Styela clava: one gene and its partners. The protein of the gene in region 3 interacts with the protein of the main gene of each other region in a biochemical or structural test. Links are inferred from orthologs where the notes say so. Each region holds a gene or a part of one and is shown on either strand. Other genes may lie near its edges.

The links.
Region 1: the proteins of ras GTPase-activating-like protein IQGAP1 (region 3) and RAF proto-oncogene serine/threonine-protein kinase-like form a complex in vitro, tested with the Homo sapiens proteins (2 studies listed by BioGRID and IntAct). The link is inferred for Styela clava from reciprocal best matches to the Homo sapiens genes IQGAP1 and BRAF.
Region 2: the proteins of ras GTPase-activating-like protein IQGAP1 (region 3) and cell division control protein 42 homolog form a complex in vitro, tested with the Homo sapiens proteins (6 studies listed by BioGRID and IntAct). The link is inferred for Styela clava from reciprocal best matches to the Homo sapiens genes IQGAP1 and CDC42.

What each region holds. Positions count from the first base shown.
Region 1 is NC_135256.1:7,210,311-7,221,454, forward strand, and holds the start of RAF proto-oncogene serine/threonine-protein kinase-like, read right to left. Parts: upstream 4,317-11,144; 5' UTR 4,217-4,316; coding exon 4,121-4,216; intron 3,582-4,120; coding exon 3,480-3,581; intron 2,489-3,479; coding exon 2,401-2,488; intron 2,082-2,400; coding exon 1,983-2,081; intron 1,143-1,982; coding exon 1,036-1,142; intron 524-1,035; coding exon 411-523; intron 1-410. UniProt on the Homo sapiens protein: Protein kinase involved in the transduction of mitogenic signals from the cell membrane to the nucleus. Phosphorylates MAP2K1, and thereby activates the MAP kinase signal transduction pathway. Phosphorylates PFKFB2.
Region 2 is NC_135256.1:6,374,262-6,385,492, reverse strand, and holds cell division control protein 42 homolog, read right to left. Parts: upstream 4,696-11,231; 5' UTR 4,675-4,695; coding exon 4,570-4,674; intron 3,588-4,569; coding exon 3,515-3,587; intron 2,785-3,514; coding exon 2,675-2,784; intron 2,299-2,674; coding exon 2,101-2,298; intron 2,013-2,100; coding exon 1,920-2,012; 3' UTR 1,913-1,919; intron 691-1,912; coding exon of another isoform or gene 601-690; 3' UTR 85-600; downstream 1-84. Other genes in the region: something about silencing protein 10-like, read right to left, coding at 10,361-10,558, 10,796-10,850. UniProt on the Homo sapiens protein: Plasma membrane-associated small GTPase which cycles between an active GTP-bound and an inactive GDP-bound state. In active state binds to a variety of effector proteins to regulate cellular responses. Involved in epithelial cell polarization processes.
Region 3 is NC_135257.1:7,265,215-7,275,705, reverse strand, and holds the start of ras GTPase-activating-like protein IQGAP1, read left to right. Parts: upstream 1-5,659; 5' UTR 5,660-5,788; coding exon 5,789-5,966; intron 5,967-6,674; coding exon 6,675-6,774; intron 6,775-6,992; coding exon 6,993-7,227; intron 7,228-8,722; coding exon 8,723-8,867; intron 8,868-9,814; coding exon 9,815-9,928; intron 9,929-10,291; coding exon 10,292-10,470; intron 10,471-10,491. UniProt on the Homo sapiens protein: Plays a crucial role in regulating the dynamics and assembly of the actin cytoskeleton.

The DNA of each region.
Region 1 (11,144 bases), on a different chromosome or scaffold from region 3:
ACCCTCAAAAAATTGTCTAACTGATGGATATACAACTAAGGCAAAATTACGACCATGTAACCCACTAATCAATCAATAGCTCTAATTCAAATACTGGGCTGCATGAATGAAGGTGATAGTAAATAAAAACAAACTAAAAACATCCTGAGTAATTCAATAAATAGTCTTGCTGCACACTAACACAAATATAGAAATATATTTGTGTTAGTGTGCAGCAAGACTATTTATTGAATTACTCAGGATAGTTATCTTCACTCTTGCTACAGCATCCTTGCATTATATGCATACGGATCCACCGACGCAAAAGCATAGAAAACGGAAAAGTAGTTGGTCTTGTAGAAACCCAATCGATAAACTAAAAACATATGGCGAGAACATATGAAAAAGTTATTGTGAGAAGACTGACTCACTTCGTTCCAAACTTAAAAACACTACATTGATCTGCTTTATCTCTCAAATCTTTCAATCTTGCTGTCTTCTGCAAAACTTGGGACTTCAATGATTTTCCAATAACGGCTCCAACCTATATTTTAATATTGATAAAAGTGTTCAGAAAAGATTCTTGCCAAGATGGTACAGTCATTAGGGTAGATGGAGAAAAAAGTGAGCAATACAGAGATATAGGCTACTGAAAATTTGAGAAAAATGTATGTTTGCGAAAATCCAACATGTTCATCTTAAGATTGGCCATTTCATTGTTTCAGCAATAAGTTTTAACTTTCCAAGCAATATATTTATATATATCTAATACAGCCAAATTTGTACTAATGTCTTTCTTGTAAATTAATAATTACGAGTTAAATTTTCGAGATTCCTGATTTGCACTTTATTTCAACTTTAATATTTCAAATAAATCGGCAATTTTGTTTTTGTGCAAATTTTCTTAAGATTTTGTTGAAACGCGGGCTGGATTATGTGATTGAACTTACAACACTTTTCAGCATTTTTAATAGTAATTGGATTATTGAAGTTAATGACTGCAGATTTATTGTGATCACAAGCAGAGTGAGTGAATAGCCTAAGAATAATGATTACCGTTGTCTTGCCATTAGGAAGAAATATCCTGATCACTCCCACAGTTTTTCCAAGTTGATTATTTGTGCCATTGTGATGTGATCCATCTGATGTATCATATGCTGGTTCTATTCAAAGACAAAAAATATTTTGTAGGGTGGAGATTAAAGTATAATGAGAAAACACTTGCAGAAATAGCAGGATTTACATTGCATTTGGCTTTACAGGGTTTATATTAGTTACAATTTGGGCAAACATAAAATTACAGCTGCACAGCATTCAACAGGGAAATTCATTGAAAAAAATTCCTAAACCACTAAGGGGGTAGTGATTCCTTCCATTAACTAGAAATAGGAGGTAATAATATTAGTTTTACAGTTTTAACAATGAAACAAATTTATTTATGTTCAACTCAATCATCATATCCAAACTTTCGTATTTATCTAAATGAAATTTAAAATATCATGGTTCGCCAAAGTTGACGCTTCAGAAGTATGTGTACCAATATGAAGGTAACTAATTTTGTTTGTCTACTTTACATAAAGTTGGGTAAAGGAATGGAAGCCGATGGGCAGGGGGTATATTCACTTGGCTAACACAGACAGTCCCGGAACTTGTAATAGAACTTAAAAAAGAAAAATCTGAATAAAATTATGGCCCAACCCTAACCTGGTACACACACTACGGGAGTACTAACGTTTTACGTTAGAGTCATTGTAATTGAGTCACAATAAATATCTGCATATATACACCCTAGATTACAAGTTTCTAGAAGAAAAATCTGAATAAAATTATGGCCCAACCCTAACCTGGTACACACACTACGGGAGTACTAACGTTTTACGTTAGAGTCATTGTAATTGAGTCACAATAAATATCTGCATATATACACCCTAGAATACAAGTTTCTAGAATTACAGTGAGATCCAATTTATATCCAAAATGTCTATTTAAAATTAACGACTTACCAGTGCCAACGTACTGTGGACCAGGTGGGAAAAATATTCTGTTGCCCGGTAGTGTTTGCACCCCGGATGGTTCTTGTGAAAATGAGTTAGTTTGTGATCCTGTAAAACATTTACATTCCAATTAAAATAGTTTTACACTGCTCTAGAATCAAATATCAATAAATCATTAATTCTATTGAATTGCCGAATAAAATATCATAAACTTATGCTAATAATTGACTGAAAATACAACATGAAAATAGAAAATAGCATCCATGCATGAAACTGGATTACATTGAAACAAAAATATTAACATATAGCAGCAGACAGTATACTTATTGTGTAGATTTTCTCTGAAATGAATACAGGAAAGTTGAAAAATTGGCTTTAGTTATCTTCGCTCCAAACTCGAAATCTGAATATATGAAATATTGTTTACCTTGTAATAATTGTTGTTCCAAAACATCAGTGAGATTATGGTGCCTTGTTTGAAGATCCCCGAGTTTGTCCGTTAACTCACGATATTCCTGGAATAAGAAAAGAAATTCACGGTAGTTACACTCAGTAATATACCTCACTGGTAAATGAGCATAAAAATAAAACTATGGAAAATTTTGCGCTTTTCACAAGAATTCATTGATATCAATGATTTTTGGTTATGTAGGAAGTAATATACTTGCATCCAATCCTGAGCAAGATATTGATAACTAAAATGCACTATTTTCACATGATATATTTAGTATAACAGGTCAAATTAAAGCATGGCGTTTATATAGTGAAAAAAGTTGCAAAAACAATAATATTGACACAAAGGCTTCGTTGATCAGAGATAGCAAATATAAATTTAGAACAGGGAATAATAAAAGACATTCAAATTCTGCTCCCTCTGGAAGGAGGGAGAAGATTAAGTTTATGTAAAACAAAGATTGATTTTTGTAAAGATGTATCTGGCAGAAGTTATTTTATCTACACCCCAGGCATGATATTAATCAAACCACTTCATCTACAGCAAATTACATTGCATATCAATAATTAATGCATGGTTGAAATCCAGCAAATCAAGATAGAGATAATAAGTAGCCTTAAATAGATTCTCATCTTTGCAGGCATCATTTGCAAATGTTAGTCAGTGCGAACACTGATGAAAAACACCATAATATGAATTTAATTCAACTTGGCTTTTTAAAAAAAAGTTATTGCTTAATTAAGGGATTGATCTACTTCATTTATGCCTGATTGGATTGGATTGGATATTTGGATTGGATACCAGGTTATGGTTTCTATTCAAAATTAGTTTCAGAAACCACAATGAAGCCAGCATAGCTGTTCCAATAAATCTATTGCAAAACCAATTTCATTGTACTTGCTGAGGCTTTTGAACTTCAAGCCGTTACAAAGAATAAAAAGGAGAATAGTCTTCGTTCAAAAAACCAGATATTTTGATAAATCCTGAAATATGAGAACAGCTTGCCTAACCACCATAAAGATACACAACCAATGATCAATGAGAATACTTACTTCAAGATAAATAGGCGGAGGGTTCGTATTTCCACCAAATTTATCATTCAGTCGGATAATGGAATCTTTGGTCAATCTGATTACTTCATTCAAATTTTGAAGCTGAAATATCATTATATGAATCATTAGTCATTACACTCAAAATATTGTTAGAGGACGGCTAGCGAACTTCTTGGCATCTGAGGAACCAGTATTGTCAGTGGACTTGTCAGTGAAAATTGGGTAGAATTCGGATTCAAAAATTCATAGTTTCCTGAAAAATTGTTCTGATTGATATTATATAAAAAAACTCAGTTAAAAAACAGTTATTTTGTAAAATAAAAAGTGATATTGGTATGACATTGTCTGCATTTTGGTCACTTGCATTTTTATGAAATTTTAAAAATGCACTTTTTAAGTCTGTGGAGGATAATGTAAAAATACAAGAGGAAAATAATTAGGCACAAATCATTCTTGAACAACAGCAAATATGACAAAGATAAGTTGAAACATAAACAAGGCTTTTAATTTTATTGTTAGCCAGATATGAAATATGTAACAAACCTTCATGAATACAAAATAAACTGCCACATTTTGGGATTCAGAATACAACACAGAATTTCGATTACATATTTCAGATCTATATTAAACAATGCACTCACATCTTCCTGTATCTTCCTGATGTCACTTGATCTCCTCCCCTCTGATGAAAAGAGAGGTTGAGTCATGGTTGACATTCTTTTAGAAGATCCAACCATACAGCATTTACTAGTGTGCTGTTCAGTGATATGTCATCAAATATTCAAACATAACTTTTCATTATTAATCAGTTGATTGGTTAATTTAGTAATATTTCATCTGTCATAGCAAGGTTTATATTAGTGTTTTATAGTCATCTATGAGCTCCTGGTACACATGCTCGTATAGTTTTATGCTAGTGTAATGTTTTTATTCAAAAGGATTGCTTCAAAAAAACAAAATTGTTACAAATTATATGATAAGATAAATTGGGGTAGAAAAAGGGAAATCGTTGAAATGACAATGCGAGTCATTCAATGAGTTGGGCAATGGCACTGAGCAGTGAATCACCACTGAATCTGTGATTTTTTTAACACTGGTGATACTAACATCGATAAACTAAAATGACAATATTATATTTTCTGCTAACAAGCATAAAACAAAGGGCATATGGCTTAATATTGTTTGTTCTTTGATTTACCAAGTTTGTGAGCAACTTCTTGAACTAGCAGTGCTCCCCTCACAATTTTCACACAATGTATAGACTGACATTTCCCTTACCCAGTGCAAATAAATCAATTTGCCACATCCAAGAGTTAACATTACACACGCGCTCAAAGTCAACAACTGGAATAGTGTACTTGCAGTTGCACAACAGTCTAGCGTTTACAGTCTGGCATTTCAGAGCCCATAAAAAATCTATCTGCTGCGACAATTTGACACACCTTGGGGGGACACAGTTAATGATATATTACAGACTAATTAGATTCAATACAACTTTAAACAGTTGTTACCAAGCACTTCAAAATCGCATGTTCTTTGTAAATTATAGTGATAAGAAAATGAAAGAATATGAAATAATATTTGAATAGCGATAAAAATGGAGTTAGAAAGCCCCGCTTCTTTAAGCTGAAAGATGTCATTCAGAAGCAGGTGCAAAGATATATTATGCTTGTACTCTAACAATATGCTGTGTTTCAGCTCATTACCCTCTTATAAGATCGAACAGAGGACAATCGGTTCGTTGTACAGCAGTACAGTCTGGCACACTATCCAAATTCCAAGAGTTTCCCTCCATTTAGTTCAATAAAACAAACACTCCAAGTGTCTCACAAATGAGGGGCGTCTGGCACGACGGCAGATGAGTCATATTGCGCCATGCTTGTCTCAATAATAATCTAATTAACCGTGGCCATCATGTGATCAAAATTGGTGTTTTTTCTTAAAAACTCTCAAATGCCACGGTAAAAAATTTTTTCCTTAGGTAAATCGGGTTATTTTTTCAAAGAAAAGTCCCACAGTCAGTAATACTGTAATATGAATTATCTTTTATTCTGTGCTTGCTGTCGGCTTTTATGCTGAAGCTTCCTTCCATCAATTATAACAGTGAGTGAAAACCACTCCTTTACAAGACCATCTAGGCCACCATATTGACATAAATCGACAAACCAGCCTTTTGCAATAAACTAACAGGAAGCGCAATTTAAAATTATTAGATTCTTCATAAAAAAAGGATCCAATTCAATGGAGGAGAATTTTTTTAACGTAGCATTTGAAAGTTTTCAGGTCCTGTGACTACTGCGACTAATTTAGATTATTATTGAGACAAGCATGGCACAATCTGACGCATCCGCCGTCGGGCCAGACGCCCTCGTTTAAGAGACAAATAGTGTGTTTGTTTCATTAAACCAAATGTCGGGACATCTTAGAATTGGAGAACTGTGCCCTTTCTGATGATCACAAACTATTCTGAATCCATAATTTATTATCTGGGAAATAAATAGATAAAACTACACAGAAACACCATCTAAGCTACGGTATACAATTTCAGAATTTAGACTACTACCAATCTGTAAAATAAACATTGAGACAAAAGATACGGTACCGGTAACCAATCGTATCTCAAAGTTCTGAAGGAATAAAGTGAAAATAAAACTGAACTAAAATACGTACTGCAGTACTGCAATTTCATAAAAATGATATCACAACACCAGAATGGTACCAGCGTACAGGAATAACAGGATAACGCCGTACCGTACAGCCAAACAAGTACCGGTACAGGGTACGGTACCGGTAACTTTGAATTTAACTTACGTGTCTGTGTCAGCTCCGGTAGCGGTACCGTACCGGTACTCTGGCGTTGTTCCAAAAGTCCATTGGTTCAACTGAAATGATAGAATTCCATAGAGCCTGTAAAGCTGTACAAAGCATCAACTCAAAAGTATTCGGGTAGCTCAGTCGGGAAAGCGAGGACAATAAACCAGTAAACCAACAGATAAACCTGCCGAAAGTAAGGGAGAGTCATTGGATCAGACAGAGGAGAACCGGTTCGTTGAACCGGATTTGAGATACCCAAATAATAAGTATGTATGTTTATTTGCCTCAAAATGTAACAGTATCTGCATATCAATTAAACAGCGTAAAAAATACGGGATACATGTTAAAACCCTTACTGGCCCAAGACACAGATGTGCGACATACATCTCTACCAAGGATTAGGATTTACATATTTATCCCGGGGAAGGGAAAGTCGATAATATGGCTTAACCCGTAGTAGTATATATTTACGCTTAACCACATGGCGAACCACGGCCTCTCGTCCGGTTACCATTTCATGTCGGGTATAGAATTAGTTAGTTAATTGTTTCTGGAAGCATAGAATTGATGGTCGGGGAAGCCGTACGCGGTTACGTGAACCACCCTACGGCAGCGAGGAGTCCAGCAATCCTCTCGCACATAACTATCCCTGAATGGGCTTCGAACCTGCGAACCCACGCAGAGTAGGGGAGATGCGGGAGAGATGAGCCATTTTTTATACAATTAGTTATATATCCTCAATGAGAACGTGAACGACGTGTGAAGTTCCAATAATGCTGGGGATGGCTAATTTTCTTGCGATGTCTTTCTTCGACCAAAGTGCTTCATCTTCGACATCCAGAATAAAGGTAGTTCCGTCATTTACGCTTAAAACCAGGCGGAGAAACACTCCTTCAAAAGCATCAACTCTTGCGACGTATTGAACAATTCGAGATTTTCCACTTATCTTGACTATGACAAAATCGCCTTCAATAATATTTTGATTTTCTTCTCCTGTGTCATCAGTATCATCGCACAATACATTCCCGTCAGATTCACTTTAGCTCGAAGTGGTGCATCCGGATGGTGCTACCCTCACTCTAACTGTTTCCTTGTTTGCAAAGAGCATTTTTTAACCCGACCGTAGTTCTTTGCTCTATTTTATTCTAATCTAGCCACTGATTTGCTGCTATTTCATTTCTAACTGGTGTGTCTGTCAAAATTTCCGAGCTTCCTTTTTTTCCTATTGGAAGCTTTCACCTTCCTTAGTCCTGCATTGGGTAAAGGTAGTATTTTTATCACCTGGAAACACATAAAAAGTCTCTGCGTTGCTAGTCTGCTCTGCTCCAGTCAAGCCAATATTGGTCTCAACGCCAGCTTGATTGAATTGTGTTATCTTTTTGGTACGTGGGAGTATCAGGATTACTCTGTAAACCTGACGCATTTTCAACATTGTCTACTGCCGAGCAAACTCGCGTTCTGTAACTGAAGATGAGGCATATTCTTCATCCAAGAATACGTCGCTGTTGAAAGGCATAATTCCAGTGCTGTGAAAGCCAGCTAGGATATTACGCAGTACAAAAGCGCAGATGGGAGCTTCGTTCACCAAATGAGCAATATCGTGTATAGACACAGTCTTACCCGGATTGGACCTCATCCAATTATTCATCGCGCGCGCGTAGTCGCTTTTGTATGGTTCATAAACAGTCTTGTCTAAAGGCTGGAGTTTGTGGGACGTGTATGTAGGAATGGTCAACACCACAACTCTGCTCGTCTTCGCCTTGTCAACAGCTTTTAGTGAAACGTGGGACTCGTGATTGTCTAAGATGAGCAATACCTTTCGGTCGGGTACACAGCGTGTATGCTTAATGAAGTGATAGAGATAGTTGACAAACGTTTCCTCGTTAATCCAACCTGATCTGGTGGCGGCACCGCCAGATCCCAGTGGTGCACCTCGTATGAAGCAATTACGATAGTTCACACGGGGAAATATCATGTAGGGCGGAAGAAATCCACCAGCAGCGGTGATCGCATTGACTACGGTTACCGGCTCACCTCTTTCACCCGATGAAACAGAACCGATTTGCTTAACCCCTCTTTCCGTAACAATGCTTTCAGGCTTTAGCACCGTATGGCACCCTGTTTCATCAACGTTATATACGTCTTGTGCTTCAAATTTGTGTTGATCCATTACTTTGGCAAGGTTTTTGAAAAAACTGCCCCGCTGTATGACTATTAAACGCCGTTGCTCTGGCTAACGAAGTAGCTTCTGGACTTCGAATTGAAAGGTTATTGCGGGCTTTCAATCCAAGCCGAAACCATAGACCAGCTTTTTTGTTGATTTTCCAATTTTCTGGCACATCAATACCGTTTCTTTCTGCAAACTCGTACGCCAAACATCGGCATTTATCTTTGGATAGGCCATGGAAGTTTGCTGCAAGTGTTTCGATGTGACTAGCCAGTTCAGCTTCTATTTCAGGACTGAATATCATATTCTCGAGCTTGCAATTCTTGTATCCGCTTACACCAAGCGGGTCGTGTTTTTGTTCATCGATGTATCGCTTGAGTGTCATTTGGTCCACATCAAATGTTCTCGCTGCGGCCCTAATACTGCATCCCTTTTTAACCGCTTCTGCCGCCCTTTCAACTAATGCCAGATCACTTCCACCGGTTGATTTTCTTTTGTATGTTTGCGACATTGTCTGATAAAGAAAACATGTGATAAGAAATATCCAATGCAGTAGCGTTGAGCCACGAAGCAAACCCTCTTGGTGACCGCTGGATCAACCCTCCCATGATCGGCCATCTTCCCTGTTAAGCTCCGCTACTGCCGAATGACTGTTTGACGTGCGCGGCAATAGACTCCATTAGAGCATCACAGCATACACTACACCATAGGTTCTAAAAATGTTCCGTACGGAGCCCCAGGGCTCCGCGAGAGAAACCCAGAGGCTCCGCGAGCTACTCGATTACTTTTCAAATTACTGACTAATTTTGTACCTGTTCAAAGAAGCAATAACAGCTTTGATAAAATCTGACAACAATATAGCCTCGAAATATGGCAAAGAGGCGGAATTCAAAAATGACATTATTTATAAGCAGGAGCGCAGCCAGGATTCTTAGGAGGGAGGTGGTTCCGCGCAACATTCTTCGCGATTAAAAAAACGGATAACGAGATTTCTGTGGCGTAAAATATTCAATCCATGACTGATGCGAGTATTTAACGTGTCTCTTCGTTATAATGTAATTGTGCTTATCGTTACTCACGTTTGATTCGAGATTACTATTGGGATTACTAAAATAAAAGTTTACTATTCTAAAATAACATAAAATACGTGAGGAAATTCACGTTGCGATCTTGAGATTTGTCAAACTCGATTTGTTCTTTCGCACTTGAGATTATTTTTAAGCAAGATATCGTTTAAAAAATCACAATGTCTGGGCAAAATACGAACAATTGAAATTTATTTTATTGCATTTGGCTCCGTCGGTAGTTTCAGAATGAAAAAAAAGGTACATCGCGCGCACAATTGACTGTGTTTCGATTTTGCAGTTACTACCATGAAAACCCAACACAATACCAAATTTTATGATTTACAATGTCTATAAAAGCGTTTTCAATCTGAGTCTGCTGAGGCTGAAACCAAACGTGTGATCTTTCATTTTAAGTTTTAGTTTTAATATTTTAGAATACTGCTTTTTAATCAAGAAATTTGAGTTGCAGAGTTACCTCTTTATTAATTATTATTTTTATCATTTCGTCGCCGATGACTATAATATGGAAACATGTTTCCACAATGAACTCATAGTTCCCCACGAGAACAAAAAAACAATTAACGCTTCATTGTGTAACAATACATGTACCTATATGCCGAGGGAAATTTTCGATTTAGGGAGAATAAACATCGGTGTAAAGATGTTAGAGGTTCAAAAACACACAAAATGCAATCGCGCACATTATAAGCGGCCTTTTGAGTCTTCCAAAAATGTCAAAAGGGAAAAGATTCGACCCCTAATTCATTAGTATGTTTGTCAAGTGTCAAATTTACAGCTTTAGTATATATATATAATTTATGTTTGAAATTTAGATTTATTTATGACTTGTAATAACCTTATTAAAAAAGGTTCAGCATTTAAATTGAGTAAAGTACTTTTAACTTGCTCAGGAATATTAATCTGAAAGTAACAAATTTAACATTTGTTCTAGGGCTCCGTGAATAATAGTCAACCTTTTCAAGGGCTCCGCAACACCAAAAGTTTGAGAACCCCTGCACTACACAATGACCTAATGTGACTAAACCACGACCTTTAATATTAGTAATAGTAAACATATTACCTGCAACCACGAAATCCACTCTTTGCTGCGATTCCAGCTTTTTCATCAACTGTTTTCCACCTGATCTACAGAACGTCTGCTTCTCACAGCCAAAAACAGTCGTGACCGAGCAGCTGTTATAACGTGAACCACCCCACGGCGGCGAGGAATCCAGCAATTTGATACAACCGCCCATACACAATAGATAAAATTAAAACGAAAACAACAAAAAAACTGATTTCAGAAACAGCAAAGAAAAAACGGTTTAAAACACATCAAACTTATATAAGGAAGCGTTGCCAAGAAAGACGGTAGCCTACGTGTTCATCCAAATTTTTGTGGTTTTGCGTGGTATTTGTCAGTTCGAGAATCCGAATTTCGCATCAACGACAAAATAGAAGATGAAAGTGTGAGCGCTGGGGTAATGACTGATGAAGCGGCAAGGCTGGAACGCTATCATGAAAAAGATATCGTACAAATAATATAGATCAGCGACTTCAATCAATCAATCATTTTATTTCGGTTCTCTGACATAAACAACACAAAATGTAAACAGA
Region 2 (11,231 bases), on a different chromosome or scaffold from region 3:
CCCCAGATTCCTGTCTGGGGAAACCCTGTTCTAGAGAAGCGAACATATCCTGGACCCAAAATCTGCAGCTTCACAGACAATTAACAGAATAACACTTTTTAATCTGTTTAAATAATAATGGTACTTAAAAACCAATTTTATTGAAAATGAGAAAAATATGCGATTTAGAAATAACTTTCCTATCAGTACTTTAACAGATAGAATCAAGACCAATCTGGCAATAGCAGACTCTGAAATATATTATGCATATTGAGGACTGACAAGGGTTATTCTTGGCCTATAAAAAAGCCTTGTAGAATGTAGTACTGAAGATTACACTAATTATTCATGCAATTTTACAAGTAAATATATATATCCAGTGGAAGCCTGGCTACTGCAACAGTGAAGTAAGTGATCCCATGAAAACAGATGTTGCACAAAGTTAGTTCTGTAAAAATAGGTTCATCACTATGCAAGCAGCCCAAAGTGGAATTATGTACAAAAAGGTCTGCTTCACCAAGCAAATAATACGATTGCTCAAGTGCACCGTACCCGTTGGCGCTGTGACTTGAAAAGGAGGTTAACTTGCAAAAGTTATTACGTAAGTGCGTGGCTTTGAAATCACAAAATATTACACTTCTTTCTTCTTTTGGGTTCAGGGGGTTCTAAAGCAGCCAGAATAGCCTCATCAAACACATTCTTCAGTCCTTTCTGTAACAAAATACACAGTGTCAGCGAGTTTGCCTTCTGCTTTAGGCGTACAATGGCATAAAAGAATCGTGATAACAGGGGTTAAGATGCACTTCTTTGTACAGCCTAGTTCCAGTGACATGTTAAGCTATACAGCATTTTGCTGAGTGTGGTATACATATTAGTTTGTCCTGTTTTTTTTTTTGACAAAATGAAACCTTGTCAGCTACAGTTTTATCTGGGCCATAGACTTTGTTGCTGGGCTTTTTATATAAAAAAGCTGTTCCGAAGTTTATCATCATGACGTTATTTTCATAAATTTTTCAGCGGAAATTCATATCCATAGAAACTATAGTCTTAATTTCAGCAGACACAAGCAGGCCAGGATTTGCCCACCCCTGCTCTAACCCACTGCTCAACTCTTTAAGTAAAAAAGCAAATACGCCTACAGGACATGCAGAGAAAAATAAAACAAAAAAATTACATGCTAAATGTTTTTGATTGGTTCATCGATACCAAACTCAAATTTCCCCCTTGTCAAGCAAATTTCAATCAGCATAAATCATGACCAGAAGGACAACTTTTATTAAAAAGTTCCTTAAATAAAGAAGAAATGAATAGACAATTATCGCATTACAATAGGATTTAAAATATTATTCTTTGTTGCATACAACCATTCCAATTGACGAGATTCTATCTTAGTTAGAGCTACCTAGAGAATCAAATGAAATAATTCTGTGCTATGCTATGTAAAAATACACAGGCTAAAGCGGTTTTAGAAAAGCGAGCTAATGCACATGCAGAAGCAATACACAGCGCCCAGTGTTTTTGAATCGGTTTTTATCATTTGGAGAGTAATAGCTCCCAACAAATTCATTGAGAGACTGTAGAACAAAAGGAATATGGCGTTTGAAGAAAATTCTAGTCTGATTTCAAGAAATCATAGGTCCACTTGCTTGATTATTATGATAAATCAAATTACAATTATTGATTATTAAATTAGATACAAAATTGCTCAATATACTATTATCGGAAATCTTCACAAGAAAATGAGATAAGTAAGCATATGCAAAGCAAATAAAAATAGCATTCAAACGAAATACAACATGAAAAGAAATATAGTTTCTGTCCTCTATAATCATCATTCAAGAAAATAGGGATAAATTTATGCACAAATACGTAGATAGAACTGAAATGGATGCGGAAATATTGATCAGGCAACCTTCATACCACAATTACGTACAAGATTGTTATAGCAATTCGCAATTTCCTCGTTTCTTCTTTTCAGATGGTGGTTCCAAAGCAGCCAAGATAGCCTCATCGAAAACATTTTTCAAGCCTTTCTGCATGTTGATTAGCACAATTTTTATATTTTGTGATAACGGGATATCAATTAAAGCTATGTAGTACCAAGACTTAATAGTTTCTTACCTGTGTTAAAGCAGAGCATTCAACATATTTTACAGCCTTTAATTCTCTAGCGAGTTTTTCTCCCATTTCATGAGCGATGGGTTTTTGCTTATTTTTGGATAATTTCTCGATTGTTCCAACATCGTCGCGCAAGTCAACTTGTGTACCGACAAGTAGGAATGGTGTTTTTGGACAGTGATGTGTTATTTCAGGAACCCACTATTGAACATAAAAAGTTAAAATTAGATTATTTCTATGATTTAAAAAGTCTGTAGGAGTTTCCAAATTGCTTAGCCCAATAAAAACATCAACTGTTGCTACCGGGATGGAATTTACTTGCTTATATCGTTGCCACTTATAATTTACTAATGTGCAATATAAGTATATAATTTTATCAGAGCAAATTCAGTCAAGACAAAACAGTAACCTTCACTTTCTAAAACATCCTCACATATTATCAACAAACCACAGCAGCACAAAAGCATAGACAAAATTTAACTATTGGTACGTAGTTCTGCAAATTGACAAAAAAGGGCACTGAAAAAATGCTGGATCTTTAAATCTAGTCTTTATGTATGATCAGGAGTACACATACCTTTTCTTTAATATTTTCAAATGAGGATGGGGCAACAACTGAAAAGCACACCAAGAATACATCAGTTTGAGGGTAACTGAGTGGCCTTAGTCTGTCATAATCTTCCTGACCTGTGAAAGAGAATATTGTGTTACAACACATAATGAAATATTTATAATATTCGTAAGCCGTCCTTCAATACATTTAAAAACTGGGTAAAATTAACATTACTTCCACAATATGTGAACTGAGATGGCGAACACCGGAACGTAGTATGTGTACCGACCAAGTTAGGGTTAGGCAATAATTTTATTCCAGTTTTCCCTATTTTAGTTTTTTTACGAGTTCGGGGACTAGCCAATTGACTCCCGTAGTATTTGTTACTACGGGAGTACCAAATTAACAGCATCTGTTTTGGTCAAAATTTGCTAGCTTGTTAGGAGAATAACTAATTTAACAATGGCTGACAATTTTTATTAGTCGATAATACTTTCACTATGCTGTGGTCTGTGGATAATGAGGCACATTCACAAGAATGTAGTGGGATGCTCAGTGTGTGGCAGCCAAACAATTTTTCCATCGCTCACCGAGTACATAGATTGATTAGGTAGGTATAGAACAGACAAGAACTGAGCTTGACACGGTTGATAAACTAGATAAGCCTAGGTAAACATATTTACAGAGGGAATGATAATTTGAGATTATTGGCACCCAACTCACTTATTTAAATTAGTGAGAAAATCATCAGTGGGCGGAAAAACAGTAAAAGAAAACGACTAGTCATTAACAAATGTTTAATTGACAGAATGCTTATCCGTCTATTTAATGAGAGTTTTTACTCATCTCAAATAAATATTTCACCTGCTGTATCAAATAATCCCAATGTATATGGTTCTCCACCAATCATTACAGTGACGGCATAATTATCAAAGACCTAAAAAAACAGATTATATTTAAATATTTTGTCTCTATGTAGATATTTACCAATCTACGACATAGTTCTCAGATTCCAAGAATAGCCCCCATTTCCTAAAGGAGTCTGGGTTGCCATAAAGGTAAAAATGGGCATACCGGCGCTGCGCAACAAGCTAAAAGAAAGCGCAATTTAAAAACTTCACTATTGGATTCCTCAAAAATAAAGTCAGATTTACCCACAGAAAAAAATTTCCCTGTAGCATTCGGGGTTTTTGGAAAAAAAAGGAAATTTTGGTCACATGACGGTGGACACATATTAGAGACGCACGTTTCAGAGTCAAATTGAGTGTTTTATTTTATTGGACCAAATTTCTGGATATCTTGGAATCGGAGAAACGTGTCCTACTTTTTGGTACACAATTGCAAATTATTTTCCCTGAACTTTCAAAGCATCAATTTTTCCAATAATATTTAATTCAAATGTGTTATTCATATATAATATCATTGAATAATGATGGCAAATCTGAATAGTTAGAAAGCAAGCCACTGCGGTTGCCAATTTACATGCAAATTTACGTAGCGTGCTGAATATATATAGTTTTAACTATAAATAGCCCGGTCCATCATGCGCCCTACCAGTAATAATCACAATGGGTCATTGAATACATCACTTAAGTTTTTTTTTTTTTGAAAGCACTATTCTCGTTTATACCAAATTCTTTGAATATTATGTTACAAACACTAAATATACAATTATGAAACAAACTGCAAATAAAGGCTTATTGTACATCCATGATATTTTTATGCTGTACCAAGAGAGCCATAAAACGACAGAAATTTCGTTGTCTGGAATAAAAATATGCCATGTAGGCACTTGTTTTAAGGATTAGAATATGTTGACAACCCCATTGTTTACTTGCATGAGCTCCCAGTTATTTTAGTCAATACCTGAAAAGAAAATAGATAATGATTCGCATGCATCAAAACAGAGAATAGCATACCGTTGGCACATATTCTGATGGAAATTTATTTGTTGTGTATGAAATAAGCAAACAGGTTTTACCAACAGCTCCATCTCCCACAACAACGCATTTGATGGTTTGCATATTTATTTTATTCAATTAACTCTATGGAAGAAAACAAAAATATTAGTTAGATAGATTGAACTTATGGGTTGTTAATTCAATTTACTATAGATTGTGTAACCTCTGGTTAGACTTTACGGGCCAAGCATAGCTGCACATTACTTTAGTTTCCACGAGTCTGAACCCGACACCTGTATATGGTTACCATTCTTTTTGGATTTTTTTCATCCCCTAATAAGCATGAGAACAACCTAAATCAGTGGTTCAGTAGATTTGATTTTGCCCGCATTATTTCAGATATTCACGTGCCAACCACATATTTTCAACATGTTTTTGAATAAAACATACTTTCGTCTTACTATCTGTTATTTGTAGCTTATTGTTAGTTACCGTAGCTACTTTTGAGGGGCGCAAGACTTGACAAATTCTAAAAAGGGGCGCGGCTTAAAAAGTTTGAGAATCACTGATCTAAATCAATAAATTTAAGTTTCATGACATGTTAGGTCGAGGAAAAATAAAACTAAAATATACTCCAACCAGTAAAGTCCTGATTTTAAAAGTACTTCAGTAAAACAATATCATCTACAAAATTTTCCATTTTTGACTATCAATAGTTAATAGTATCTATTTATTTCTGATTCCTATTGTTATAGTGTTAGTTCAGACAGTAATATAAGACATCATATGAAAGACTATGTGCCAGCTTGAGAGATGATTCATCCCCCCACATGAGATGACTCAGGGTATTGGTAGTCCAGAAATCACTGGGTCAACTAGTGTCAGCAGTCAGGCAGAAAGACAGATGTGCGAAACGTACCTATATACTTTTGCGAAACATTTAAATAAGTATTTATGATTCTGAAACATAGCCTGAATCGAGACATCTTTATAAATATGAATTTGAAAACATATTTGTCAATAGCCATGGAAACTGATTTTGAAATTCAGTAATATCTGGAACTACACTGTTTTGCTTGGTTTTCAAATTTGCATGCAGTGAAGTAAAAAATAATTATATATATATGGCTTGATTAGCTGGACAAGTGCTAATTTTGTTGCAAATTGCAATATGTATTAAAAACAGTGTATTATAAAAATTTACAATATTGAATACACACTTCAACTAATTTTAAGAGTATACAATTTCAATATCACTGGCTGGTTATGTAAGACTTAGGTCCTAAGTTCCAGTTGGCTCTTTTTGCCAGAAATATGTATATTTTAGTAATACGGTAAGTCAAAACAAGTTTACTTTTCTTAAACAATAAAATGAAAATCAATTGTACACAAATCATGAGAAAATGATAATTACAGTGGGGTGGGATGGGAAAATCACAGGGAACCAAAGCTGGTTAACAAGCAGCAACACTTATTATCTAGGACCTAGGTTCTAATCATGGCACCTTACATGCTTAAGAAACGTCAATGCTTTTTTTGGAATATCGTAGATGACTAAACAAGATTTTTTTATCGAGTTTTTGCCACTGAATCTGTAAAAATGCGCTGATTCAAAGAAGCATATTTGAAAGTCCAAGTCATATATATTGAAAGCAGTATTCACAAACAATACAGTTCAAAGTAATAACATTTTATGAGGTTTTATTGCCATGGTTCTAATTTGTGACAGTAATAAACAAATCATGATTGTATTCAAGCATTGATTTTATGGCGATTGTTAAATTTGTAATAAACATGTAATCAATAACAGCTATTGGGGTGTAATAACATAAAAATTTCCCACTAGCTTATGACAGTTACTTTTGTCTACCATCATCTGATCAAAGAAAATAATGCTTGTCGCTGAGGATTTATGCTATGGGTATTACTTATGGGTATTACTTACAATTTGGCGTGGCAAAAGAATTTATTCATTTTTTATTTTTTTAATTTGTTTGTATATTTTCCTTCCTTTTTACTTTTAAGTCTCGCTTTTTTCGCTTCCGACAGTATCATGTCTCGATGATTGTGTGTGTGTGTGTGCGTGCGTGCCTTCATTAGTTTTTTTTTACTTTTGGGTGAGCGAACACGTACTACTTCTTTTATCAATACCTTTCCATCTAAAATCTGTACGTTTCAAACCTTACTCTAGGTTTTGTTCGCTTTCCCGATTCTATAATCAGTTACTTTTACTTTTGTTTTTATCTATTTTTTTTATCGTCTATTGCTGATTATGGAGTCGAAATAAACTTATACTTATACTTAAAGACAAAAATTTGAACACAATTGACATTTGGACATATGTCAAAAATAAGATCTGAGTGCGTGTTCTTTATGTCACTCATATCCATGAATCTTGAAAAGTAGGAATCGCCAGTCTACTTACTGACCTAAGAAACTGAATGTAAAACCGTGTAACTGCAGAACTGTATACCCAGCTAAACACACAGCCTCTATTACACTATGTCTTTAATTTGAACATGAATAGTTACCATTACCCAATCTGACATAGGCCTATGACAGTACAATATTTGAATATACTGATATAATGTCTGAATGTGGCATCACAGTTTCACACAAAAGTTTAGAGTGGCATCACACTGAACAATTTTTTGTAATTATTGATTATCCTCATTTCATTCAACGTTCAACATATCTCTGTTCATCACATATTCTTTCGACCCTTTTCTTTTGATTATTAACCTAATTAACTTCCGGCCTAATTCCTTCCTTGAGTGATAAAATGTGTGTTACTTTCAGCTACCTTGTGCCTACCTATGTGACGACGCTGTTCGAGTAATATAGCGGAATACCTGGACTACGTCAAAATTCGAAATCCGACAATACTATTGTTTGAAACATCGTAACTAAGAAATAATTATCAATGGGTGTAATACTAAAAAACGTAATGGTGGTATCGCCAAGCACAGCAGGTCCGAAGAGCGAAACGTATCAACATAAAGATAAAAGCCAATTGAGGAAGCTAACAAAAGAGTGAGAATAGTTGCTGCGTCGTTTCTCTTTCTTTCTATCTTTCTTTCTCTTTCATCAATGGGCGGGCGAGGCGTTCCGGGTCTGACTGACGCTTTATCAGGGGCAGTATAAATACCGGCGTCGCCGTGAATGAACCTGTCAGAAATGGTTTCGTTACGTAGCTCTCTTGGTCGTGATTTGGCTTGCATGATGTCAGCGCTTGGCTACATCAGCGTACGGTTGTGTACGTTTATTGACGTATTATGTCACAACACGTTATGGATAATTGATGAGATTATACAATAAATTTGTACAATTACATCGACTATTATTTTTATTGTGAATACACCACTTGCCGTGTTAAACAGGCATTGATAACATAAACCATTTAATTTAACTGCGACTTCACCGAAGTCTCTATTATGTCAAGTTGGGTAACAAATCACACAACCTAATTGGCCGCCCATCGCTTCATTTATCGATTTTATCAGCAAGCTTATGTGTTCCAAGCCATCGTTCGCATAATATTGCAAACTGTAGTTTTTTTTTTTTATTTCTCTCGTACGATGTTTAAGAGCCGGATGTAAAACCTCCGTTTCGGCCTCGCACTGCTGGTGTAGTGGTATCATGCAAGATTCCCATTCTTGCGACCCGGGTTCGATTCCCGGGCAGTGCAAAGTTTTAATATTGCAAAAAGAAAAAATGAATGCAGACAGCGTTATCGACAATTTCTCAGGAAGTCAAAACATGCATTACGTCATAGACTTGTCAAACACGGAGATTGTCAATTGAACAAGTCTGTCTATGACAAAAACGTTTCAGTAATTGATACTTGAAAATGTTCATTGTCGTCACGCTTTTTCATTGCCAACAACATCAAAACTCATAGCTTATTCATTAACGTAGCACTCATCGACTGGACTACTTTGGATAGATTGTTCAAATTATTAATTGTATGGAAATGACACAAAAGGGAAATCCCGACATTAAGCAACAAATTACCAATGACAAATACGGCTGTTTCATGGAAGCTAGTTCCCTCGTTTATTTCCGTGACAATGACTAATCGGTAATTCGAATTCAAGCAGAAGCTCACTAGAACAACAAACGCACATAAATATTTAAATGACCAAACATTTCCGTAATTGGACTTCGTCTTTCTATTCTACCTGTATCAAAGTTAAGACTTTTATCACCACGAGTGCCTCAGCTAGATAACCAACATTGTTTTTTCGCGTCACCCTTCTCCGAGAAATGCCATTTTCATGTTTTTTTTCCTAGTTTTTGTTTGCATTAAGTGTATGTTCATTTTAGTGAATAATAAACTACTGAATGAACAAGGTCCTGTACAAGAATGCTATTATCTATAAGTAGACCTACCAGACGTCCCGGATTGGCCGGGACAGTCCCGGTTTAAACGTCTGTCCCGTCCCGGATAGCAAAATGTCCCGGTATTTTACTTTGGTGAAATTTTCAAAAAAATAACTCCCAACCTGATGCAAAATTATGAAATAATTCCGTCCCAAAAGGCATAACTTTGCTTTAACTCGAGGCTTATTTTAATATCTTAATTTTTTATCTTATTAGGTTGGATAAAATATCGCGCTTAGCTTGAGAAATCCTTTAGTTAGGGAATAATGAGTGACGTTTATTGCGTCATTATTCTATTGACTTTGATGATACTACAGCAATTGCTGCATTAGAAGCCATTTTAGGTATGCTTGGAGTTGGAGAACGCATAATAACTTTCATTTGATTTTGTTTGAGTCATATTATGCTGAGAGTAATCTAGAACTTGAGATTCTTTAGAATAATGCAATATCAAAGCTTATAAATATGTAATAAAAATTTGCCAAGCTCAGGCCTTCGGTCCATGTATTTCCGGGAGCCGTTTCCCGTCAGCAATTACATATCAACACGGTGAGTCCAAGTTTAGCATCTCTAGGTGATGTACAAATCGAGCTGGATTTTCATCGAATGTGTTGGAAGGACTATATCACCTTTTTTCTTCCACCCAAAGAATTTTAAACTGGCCTTTATTTTATATTAGGCGATTATGAATATTTGATCTGTGATAATTTGCACCACATAAAAAACAGATTTGACCAAATAGAGATCTTAAAGTTTTTATTTTAAATGAAAGACGACAGCGAGGGTGGTTTGACCAAACAACAGAAACAGATTAGTTTCTCACTTGTGATATTATACTAAAACTGTATCATATTTCAAACAATTCATTCATCGGGACATATTTTAACCATATCCCTCGATATGATTGCCTTCGAGGTATCTCTATAAGTTTGTTTGCCCAAAATTAGCAGCACATTCACATGGACATGGTACAGACACAGTTGTGCAACATGTGCAATGGATTTACTCCTCATGTGTTGCCTAATGTCAGAAGGAACAAAAATTAAATGATTGATCTGTATTTGTCCAGTTTGTAAAAATCAAATCACTGCACTCAGAGAACTTAGAAAACTTACAATGTTCACATTATCGACATTCGGTCACTGGTTTTTACAACTCCTATCTGTACCATATTATAAAGACTTCCCCACTAATCACCATAGAAAAAGTTTAACATTCTTGAGATTGCATACCAGATTTTGGCAACAAAAAGAAAAACAGAGCACGCAGATAAATCCAGTAATAACTCTCAAAGTCAATATGATCCACTCCACACTCCTGTAATGCTTCTGCCAGGAATCGCCACTAACACAATCAACTCACATCACTTCATCATTCGTTTGAGAAAGCTATTATGGAGATTCCATAAATTGGCCACAGTTTAGTCTTACTGCAGAGTTGTACTCTTCCTCAAACCTATTCTTATTCCTGAAGCTTCTCCAGAATATTTCTTTATCTCAGGCCTATATTCACGAACTTGTCCTCTTCTTCGTATCTTTGCTTTCCTGTATTTTTGTCTCATTTTGACACGAGGATTACGATCAATCTTCCGCCTTTTCTGACGAAGTCCTTTGTTCTTGGCAATCTGTTGACGAAAAAAGTTGTAAAAATGAGAAATGACAATGATTGACCAATTTGAAAATAACATAACTCGCTCGTGAAAACAAATCACAGCCATTGGAGGGTGCAAAGTCAAAAACAAAATAATAAAGATGACTTGGTAAAATGAATCACATAAATTATTGATCAGGCTTAACTAAAATTGTGATAAATCAATATGGAGTAGATCATTGTCTTTGTTGAAGAATACAAAATGTTTTACCTCATAATTTATTGCCCTTCGACCATTTGTTTCATCGTCATCATTGTCAGCAATTCTGTGAAAAAATAAATATTAATTAGAATTGCAGCGCAATAAAGTATATTTCAGTGGCATGCCTAAGGAAACTAATATAACCTTCAAATAAATAAAAATTTTCTCTATAAAATGTAATAAGAACTGCAATGAAGAATTGCTCGTTGCATGCCTGAAGAAACTAACATAATCTTCAGTTAAATCAGAATTTTCTCTGTAAAATGTAAAACTTTAACAGATGAAGAAACTAAAAATAGTAGTATTGAGTGACCTCTAATGCTCAACATTAAAATTAAAAATTCACAATATGCTTCATAACATATCATTTATAATTGAAGGAATTGGCCGATAACAACATAATGTATTTTTCAAGTGTATGTTTTAAAAAACACAGAATTCTAGT
Region 3 (10,491 bases):
ACACTTGTTTTGAACGATGAAGTACCTTCGATTGCCCTTCTGCTCTAGATTGTTTCCCGCCTAGTGGCATTATTCTTATCGTTTTCACGTAGATTATTGTTGCCAGAAGCGCATCGTGTTTTGCTTGACGGGGGACTTGAGAACGAGAATGTAATATAACCTTTGTGTAGCCACCTATTTTCACAAACCATTATAACCATTTTCAAAATATTTATGAAACTACATCTAGTATTAATAATAAGCAATGTCGTATATTTCATCTCTGAATATTGTCTTGTTTCCAAATTTGCGTTGAAAAAATTCCATGGATAACGATTCCGCGCCATAAATACATTTATATTTTTTATTTTATTTTTTTACCTTGCTTCAAATATATATCAACCGAAGCTGATGATATGTTGTTGTTTTAGTGAAAAGAATTTTGCTTGTCAATTGGCCTAATTCTTGCCAATATTTCCGATGTTTTAAATGTTGTAAGCATGAAATAGTTCCCATTCGTAAGTATGGGCTTGTTGACACACGCGGAAAGAGGCGCAAGTTTCTGCATTTGTCGAGAGTGCTATTGCCTATTACCGGTAATTGGCTCGGTTTTTGAAATAAATTATCCAATTCCATTGCTACACTTTCGATGTATCAGATCAATATGTATAAGCTAAGAAAAGTATCGTAATGTTTTGAATGTTGTGTCGTCGTCTCGTTTCATGAAATGAGTGTTACATGACGGTATCATGATATTATATGTGCACATTCAGTCAATAACTCCGGAAATCCGCACTCATGCCATGCTAACGATTTAGCGCGCATGCGCTCTTATGTCTTACTGTGTATTGGATGTTGAGTCAGTAAAGCGATGACGCCTATAATGGGAAGTTTTCCACCGAAATTATATGCTTTATTAGGCAAGCTTCAATTTAGGATTTAGGGTGTTAATTTGTTCAGAATGCTCAGGTTGATATAATTCATGAATCTACTGACGAAAGTGTAACCTTATATAGCATATATATGTGAAAATGTATTATTAGGGAGTAGTTTGATTGTGTATACAGCGTGGCGACCAAAAGAATTCGTAGTCTTATATATACAATCTCAATTTTAATATTGGTGTGTCGTCTGTCGCATAAGGTTGTGTTTATATTCTGGAAGATTCGTCAGCAAGTTAAATATTGGTTTATTGGCAATATCGCGATACACGTACATCTACAGTTTATTACATACCTTATTGCATTGAGCCTATCGCATAAACTGAAGTTTGTTCCACATTGTTTTTGAATCATAATCAATTTTAAGCCACTTTGGTTGCTGCAGCAATGCTCAATTTGATCAGATTGCAAAACACTGTTCACACTGCCAAGTAATTCTTGTTCTCGATTTGCTATATTTAGAAACTTCCAAGGCTCGTTTGCGAATTGTAGACCGCAGAGGCATACAGTAAAATTCAGGACGTACCTGTTTCATTATTTCGAACTATCGTTCGCGGAGTTTTACTAGTGTATAGAAAGTAGATATCATAGAAATCACGAGGGTCGAGAGCGGTGGTTCTCAAACGGTGGGACGTAGACAATTTTTTGAAAGGCGTGGGGCTAAATAAAAATAATTGTGAGATTTGATCTTGCCCGCCTATTTGTTTTTTAAACTTTTCATTTATTTATTATTCACGTTCCATCCCCATATTTTCAACGTGTTTTTGCATAAAACATACTTTCGCCTTATTATCTGTTACTTGTAGATTATTGTTAGCTAGTTATTTTTAAAGTGGGGCGCGAGACTTGACAAATTCTAAATTGGGGGCGCGGCCTAAAAAGTTTGAGAACCACTGGTTTAGAGGAAAAAACGCAAACCGACAGCGTATAGTAGTATTTTGCTGGTGGAATATGTCATTGTCATTAATCTATTGTTGTTCCATGACAAGCTACATGTTGCGACAAGTAGGAGAATATCGCCAAATAAAACATCACTTAGGAAGATTGTCAATTTGCACTGTCGTTCTGAATAAGTAAAGGAAACTGGTTAAATTTGTATTTGCCGACGATACAACACAACCAGTCAAAGAATGTTTGCTTAGTTCTTTAATTTCTCATGGAAAGTATTTATTTTATAGACATGTTGGAGCGTCCCGTTTTCCTTACTGTGTGTTTAGCCAACAATGCGACCGGTTTCGTTCAACTTTTAAGGGTTGCACTGGGAAGCCGAACTCGTATCCAGAAAATACATACATTTTGTACATGTGAGAGGAATGTGAAGAGCGTATGATCATTTATTACTAAGGGAAAACTCCAATTTCTTTAGCGTCTGCTTTATGTTATGGAAAATGAAAGAGTTAGTATAACATGGCCTGTATATATAAGGATGGAGGAAAGACCTAGCATTTAGCCGAATTGTCTTCCTATGTTGTCGAATACACGCTAGCGCTTAGATTTACTGATTTATGCTCAGCAAAGTGAAACTCTTTGCGTCATATTATAAAACCAACACCATTTATAAAAGGAACGTTTAAATTATATTTTAGCCAAATGATAGACTTGTGCAAATTTTCGATTAATGTTTACTTTGAAATTATCGGGATGAGATTGACTTATGGCAGGCATGACTTTTCTGCAAAGTAGAGTACAGCCAGTTGTATCGCTATACCGCTTGCGACCTCAAGAATGGTCGACCTGTCGGAATATGTCGAAGACATTTGATGGATATTTTGGCAATAGCTATTTGAAATTGGAACTGCAACTTCGAGTCAAACATTTATCAAAGCTGAGGGTTCGCCCAGTAAACGGTGCTTTCATATACAACACGGTAAACTGCTTCTGAGATGCTAATCGCCTTTCATACTCATTCGTCGATGAAGATTTCTTGTTGACGAAGCTTGTTTCTTCAAACGTAATATGTATAACATAAGAAACCCAGTTTTAAAGGTTCATTGAATTCTTATCAGAGTATATCCATCAACTGTCGATCATGCTAGATTTTGAATGAACCGCGTCTAATTTGATGAATATTTCGAATTGCCCGAACAGTATGTAGTTGTAATCGTTTTCGTTTGAGAAATCCGAGCGGAACATTGGTCAACCACGCTTGTGGAGTGTATCTTATCCGCAGGAGAGTATGCCTCTCTTATTGGTACATCATGGACATGGATCGCATATCGTTATTTACGTATTTGTGTAAGAACATGTATCAAAGGTCATTTAAGGTCTTTCCTCTTTACTTCTCGTCTTGTGTAGTCGTTTTATCAAAATGAAATCCCAAGAGCCGCCCACTTTAAAGAATTTCATGTTCTTTCGCCAAGTCCCTCGTGGAAATGTCAATTTATAACGAATGGTATTAAATAGAATACGGGATTAGAACGCGACTTGTACTTGGTGTGTATGATATATGAAGACGATAAATTTGTTGAAATTGAAAGTTCAATTATTGAACCGTTTTAGATAGACTGATCGTGACCGCAGCGCATGTGAAAAATGATTACTTCATTTAGTCGTCGATGGCCAATTTTCTGATCTGAATGGAAATCAAGTCTGTGCGACAAAATTAGTAGCATTTATAGAATAGCACAGTGTCAACTTAATATGAGAAAGCTTTTGCAAGTATAGTCAGTAAGTGTACTTACCGGTAACTGCGAATCTTAGTATAATATTGTTTCGAATTAATTCTCGTGCTTTATCAGTACTGACTAAAATTTATGGACGCTTGTACGTGACTTAATTAGATGTAGATACGAAATGAAATCATATGAGTCAACCAAGTTTCAGTTTTAGGAACGAGAATAATATGTCAAGAAGAACTTTTACTGACACGTCTGTGGCGTTAAATTTGTTGGATTTATAGACAGTCACGTAGTATGGAGTAATACAACTGGACTTAGAATATTCTTGGGTTGCTAGCTTCGAAATCAGTAACATCAGGCAACGGAATATCGTATCGCACATAACATTTTCATTTCAGAAAAAAGAACAATAAAAACGCTGACATTTCCAAATTGCAATTTTCATTGTTTGATTTTCTGACCTTATGAAAAGTGACAGAAATGGAATAGTGATGTCATACAGCCATAACGAAGACAATAAAATTCAGCGACATATAACTGGACATTTTGTTTTCTATTACAAAGCCGAGCGCAATTATTCCTATATTCAACAGGTATTATTATTTCACCAGCAGGTGTCAATGCAATTAGCGTTCGTTCAAAATTTTGTCCGAAGTCCAAAATTTAACAATTTTCAAGCATGGTTGCAATACTTATTTCTGTGAAGTCTTTGTTACAACTTACAGCCCTACACATTCGAGTGTGCCATCATCGCCCATCATTATTACATTTCAATTGGTTTTTGTTCATGTATTATTGACTGTAAATAAATCTGCTGTGTTGCTAATTTTATTTCCACAATAGATATAATGCTGCATTTAGGAAATTCGAATTGCGCTTGTTATTTTGGTAATGAAAAGTTTATTTCCGAATCTTCGGACTTGCGTCCCAGCTCAGGCTCTTATTGTAAAATATATTTCTGCTGTTATCACGTGAAGGTCTACCACACTATAGCGCGAGGTCTACCTTAAGCTGGTACTATAGCGTGAGGGGACTGTTAGGCTTAGGGTGTAACTCTTTCTGCAAAATTTTGTATTGCGCTCAATCGATGTTAATGAGGTCGAGATGGATGGAATGCGAGAGACTGCACCTGAATAGTCCGCGTATACCTCACGCCATAGTCTCGCATATCTGTTTTATAAGGAAAGTCCTTGGTTCTTATTTATAACCTGAATGTTATAGTTATAGGTTGATAAAATTTCTCCTCGATCGCAGTCGGTTTCTTTCATATCGTAGAGACGTAGAACATACGGCCGAATGTATCAGAGATAGATTCATACGTTAGAAGTAGGAAGAATGAAACAACGAGCCGGTCAAGCACTTGTTTGTGTTTGCTCTCTCTAATTATTTAGAGACCAAACAACAAATAGATCCGGTCTGTTTATTTTCCCCGCGGAAATAAACTTGTGAATTGAAGTCGGTCGGGTTCTCAGTAAAAGCGGATTTCCCAGCAAGACGTGCTTTGTATTTTGCATTTTCTCTTTGTTTGCACAAGACTAATTGGCAGATTATCAGCGTCTGTATTCCGACGCCATAAACGAGACACCAACTGAGAGTGGTAAGGAAGGATATTGTGGAGTAGAAAGGAATTTTACTGAAACATTTTTGTTTATGGAATAGAAATAATAAGGACGAATAACATTTATTTAGCTTACTTAATTTAGATAAGATGCATTAGCAAATTTTGGGGTAAAAAAAATCATAGTTTGTTTGCAGCTCTTTCTAGAGTAGTATATTGCAGGCACAGGGTAATTGGCGGTGTTATATTTTATATAGATTGAGTTTGACATAGAATTGGCAGAATGGTGGTATTTTTATCCTTGTTTCTTCTGACCTGTCACAATTTAGTCAAAGTAATCAATTCAAATGTGATACAAACATAACCAAGTTGATCAATCGATTAGTTTATACTATTTTTACCCTTCCAATAGTTCAATATGTTCTGAAGAATTAAACAATAATAAAGTTTAAAGTATTTTTCTTGTTTGTGATAAATAATTCAAGTTTGGCTTCACTCTCTTGAATTTCAACTTGTTTCATATATGTATTCAAATATATTTTACTTTGTTCGTTTTATTGTAAAAACAGTTCAAAATGAACCTGTTCCAAAGGTTGTAAAATTTAAATTGTAGTAAAGTAGATATTAACAAAGAACATAACAGACATAAAGTCTGCAAGCTTATTTTTGGGAGAACAAAAGATTTTTAAAAAATGACCTCAGAACATCCTGTACAAAATGGAATTAATGGTCATCACACACCTGCGCCACACCCCCATGCCCAACAAAGTTATCATCCTGGACCACGTAGTCGAAGCAGTAGTACAGCCAGTGATAAATCACAACAATTAACAAGGAAATTATCTTTCTCACTACGCGCTTCTGATTTTGGTAGGTATATACAAATGAACTCAGGAAGGACATTGTTATTAAAAGCTGTTAGTTTTTTCACACAAATCATTTCAACAATTTTTGTTTATACCATTAGTTTTTGTATTCTGTTAGTCAATGTTTATCATTATTCATTACATGAGTATGCTAATGTGAGGCACTTTATTATTAAGGTTTAAATTAATTTTTGTCACTTCCATGTGCGGAATAAGAATTTTCATTTTAGCTATCCTACTCATGATGACACTTCATGATATAACCAAAATTTGAAACTAGCCTATTGTTTGTTCACTATAACACCAATGAAGACCATGGAGCATGTTAAATTCAATGTTAGATGATTTTTCTGTGCTTTTTTTATTTAAAAGACAATGTCAATATGAGTTATAGCTTGATTATGTGTATGTTTCTGGTGAATTTATGGATTTTAGGATTTACATATTATCCCGGATGAGAGGAAAGATAATCCACCACAGGATTTGAACCTGTCAACCTACACAGAGTGATATGACTTGCGTTGGCAAGCATATTTCTAACACTTAGCGCGATGCGCCACACTGCCGAGCCTTAATATTTTAGAACTGTTGTTATTAATATTGTTTCTAATTCACGATTATTTAATATAACGGGTCGAGGTTATGACTGTGAGAATGTATTGTTAGTACATGAAAACAAAGAAACAATTTCAATAATTTCAAATTTTCACAGGCATCACCAAAGATGAACGTCTCACGGCTGAAGAAATGGACAGCCTGCGTAACCAGGCTACAGCATATGAATATTTGTGCCATTTGGAAGAAGCAAAAAGGTAATAAGACCTTGTATATTTGAAGTATCAAATACAGCTTCCAAAATATGTTTTCAAATTCCATATATTTGTACTCGTATATACTAATCCTAATCTATGCATATTTTGTATTAAAAGTATGGCTAATTGGCAATTTGCTCTGTATGATTTAGTCTTACTGATTAATAGTTGCTGTCATTTCAATATTCCAATTTTACCATTTTTCTTTTGTTTTCCAGATGGATAGAAGCTTGTATAAATGAGGAATTACCGCCTAGTGTCCAGTTGGAAGAAGGTCTCCAAAATGGTGTATTCCTTGCAAAACTTGCACATTTTTTCAATCCTAAAGTGGTTCCGATCCGAAAAGTGTACGACAAAGATCAGAAAAAATATGAGCAGAAAGGTCTCCATTTCAAACACACTGACAACATTAATCATTTCTTTAAAGCAATGGAAGAGACTGGATTACCAACGGTACGCTTTATTATGTCATTGAGTTGGTTAGTTAGGATAGGATTAATATATTTATCCCAGTGAATAGAAAAGCCGATATGAGGGCTTAGTCGTATGGCAAACCACAGCGTCTTGTCCTGTAACCAGTCCATGTCGGTTTTAAAATTAGTTAGTTTGAACATGATCAATGAATGCATAGTGTATATGTAAATCTGATATTCAGATTAAATGTAGGTGTGCAAAAAAAAGGTAGTGTTTTGATTATTGTATTTATTGATAATATTTAATGCTTGGGAAATTCAGATTGTGAGCTGAGTCTAATTCTTATTAATCTTAATTCAACAAATGTTATTTCAAAGTATTCAAACCATGCCACTATATAACTAACTTTTGTGCAATACACTGTCAGGTATCATCAAAGTTGTATAATGATATTCCACTTTAGTAAGAACTGTTTCAAACCTCCACAATAAAAGATTTGTCCCTTCCATACTCTGGAGATCTTTACTTTTAAACGCCCTTGTTTGAACCAACAGCATGTAACAGCGTAAATTCCAGGTTTTCAATACAATAAAACGATTGTGTAACCACACCATTGTGTGGTAAATTGGCCTTTTACCCAAAATGCGTTGGGCCTTTTTAATGTCATCTAGGTTGCTAATATTGTTATATCAATTCGCTTGTGGCGAAAATTGCTAGGCCCACTGACGCTAATAATTCTAATATTAGATTTGTCTGACGATGGCGACATTTTTATTATACGCTTTGTCATATTATATTTTTATTCTTCACTGTGTTGCCATCAGATAACTAACATTATAAGCCTACTTCCTTTTTTGGTCAAATAATATAAGTTTATAGTATGAATGATGTAATCGGCGCTTTATTGGCTCCATGCAAGGGCGTTTTTCTTTAGCATCGATCATGCTTCCAGTCATTTCCTGTTTCAGCCATTGAACCACAAATCTTTGTCATTCTGTTCTGTTTGCCAATGGTTTAGCCTGTGGCCTTTCTACACTTTGATTTATATTGATTTCATATTAATAAATGATAAATAAAAAATTGATCATGATATGTGTCAAGCTAAAACGTTTCTTAATAAGACATTTGAAGTTCATGAATATCTTTGTAGATTGATATTCAGAATTTGGCCCATCAGTTCAAATACTCATTTATAATAAAGAAGATTGAATTCTGATAGAATTCTGCTGTTAGACACATGTATAAAAACTGATTGCAAAATTGTATTTTTGTAGATTTGCTTTTTTGAATACATTTGATTGATGCTCAATGATGCAATATATTCCGAATAGCCTAATTGAAATCTACGTTCCGATAGTTTTGATTGGTTTTCTTTTTTGTCAGTGTCAAAAGTTACACAAAGTTTATTTTTGTTGTGACCATTAGATGTTGAATGCTTATGAATGTCAAGTGCATGGATTATTCAATTTTTTTAAAAATAAGTAATTTGCTAGTTAAAATATAGCTAATTGATAACTTGGGTTTTCTTTTTCAGATTTTCTACCCTGAAACAACGGATATCTACGACCGTAAGAACATGCCGAAAACTATTTACTGTGTTCATGCTCTGAGTTTATTTCTTTTCCGCCTTGGAATCGCTCCCCAGATTCAGGACTTGTATGGAAAAGTGGAATTCACAGGTTTGTGATCTTTTTATTTCACAACCTTTTTCAGACTTAGATGGCTATCTAAAACTGAAAAATATCATTGATTAAAGTTTGTAACATATACAGTAGTCTGGGATATGTAGTATCATACCAGAGATGGCCAAAACCGAATATTTCACTATTTCGAATACACATCGAATATATTCCAAATTGGAGGCAAGTACATGTGGAAAATTATATAAATCTGTATATCTTCATGTTGATCATTCTGAAGCGACATATTTATAAAAGTCACTGCTAATTGTTTGTTATCAGTTGAGATATCATATGTTTTGATATGCTTGTTTTACAGCTCGGAATCCCAAATTTTCAAATAAAAACATTCTAAATTATTCCTGAATTCCAAAATTTTCGATATAGAATATTCAAATATAATGAATTTTGAATGTGTTTGAATATTCGATTCGTTTGAACATTCCTATTATCCTCTCCACTTCAGTTATAAATATTTTACAAAAGGGAACGAGGTTGAATACATTTCAATTGTGAATTCCATCTCATAAAACCCCTACATCTTAGACTTGCTATAATGTCTAACACTGACTCAGGAGTAAAATTAAACACATCTCTGATCGAAGTAAAAGGCTGAAATGCGCAATAAAACAATAAAATAGCACAATAGCAATAAAATTGATAATTATAATGGTACGTTACACATTAGCAAATGCCAATTCAAATGCAACCTGAAGCAATACAATCAGTGAGTCAATAATAATATGATAAAACATAAAATAGCCATGAAGTAATGAATTCCACATTCCTTTTTGAATCTTCATCTGGGCTGACAGTAAACAAATGACGCCTCACAGATTACTGAGCACCATAGCTGAAAACTCTTCCAAGTTCAGGTCATTCATATAAAAGTTGTAAACATTTGTTTCAACAAACCGATTTGAAGTTACTACCTGCTTAATTTACAGAGGAAGAGATCAGCAACATGCAGAAAGAACTTGATAAATACGGAATCCAGATGCCTCAGTTCCATAAAATTGGTGGAATCCTTGCTAACGAAATGTCAGTTGATGAAGCTGCCTGTAAGTTGATATCATTATATTATAGTTAGTTTACCCAAATTTTTCAAAGTAGTTGATGCATCAGATTCTGTTTTGATTAGATTATTTGTATTGGCTCTTCTTCTACAAGTTGTATTGGATGTCTCTGCATTTACTATTATACAAAGTTATACATGGGATAGTTTTTATGAAAAGGTAGCCTAAATTCGAACTCTGATATTCCAATTTTATATGCTTGTCATTGTTGTCAAGGAATGATCACTTTTGTCATACATTTTGTCAGGAATTCAATTTTTGGAAATTACCGTAAGGGTCAAAAGTCAGGAGAGGCGATTTAAGTTTAACGCATTCAACTTATTACTCCATATAATTTTCTTTTTTCAGTGCATGCTGCTATTATTGCTATCAATGAAGCATTAGATAAAGATGTTGTCGAGGAAACATTTTCAACATTACAAAATCCGAATGCTTGTCTGAATGGTATCACTCAGGACAATGCAGAAGAATACCAGAATAGATTGAAAGAAGCAAAACGTGTGAAATGTGAAGCGGCTCTGAGCAAGGTGAAATTTTAGTTAACAGAT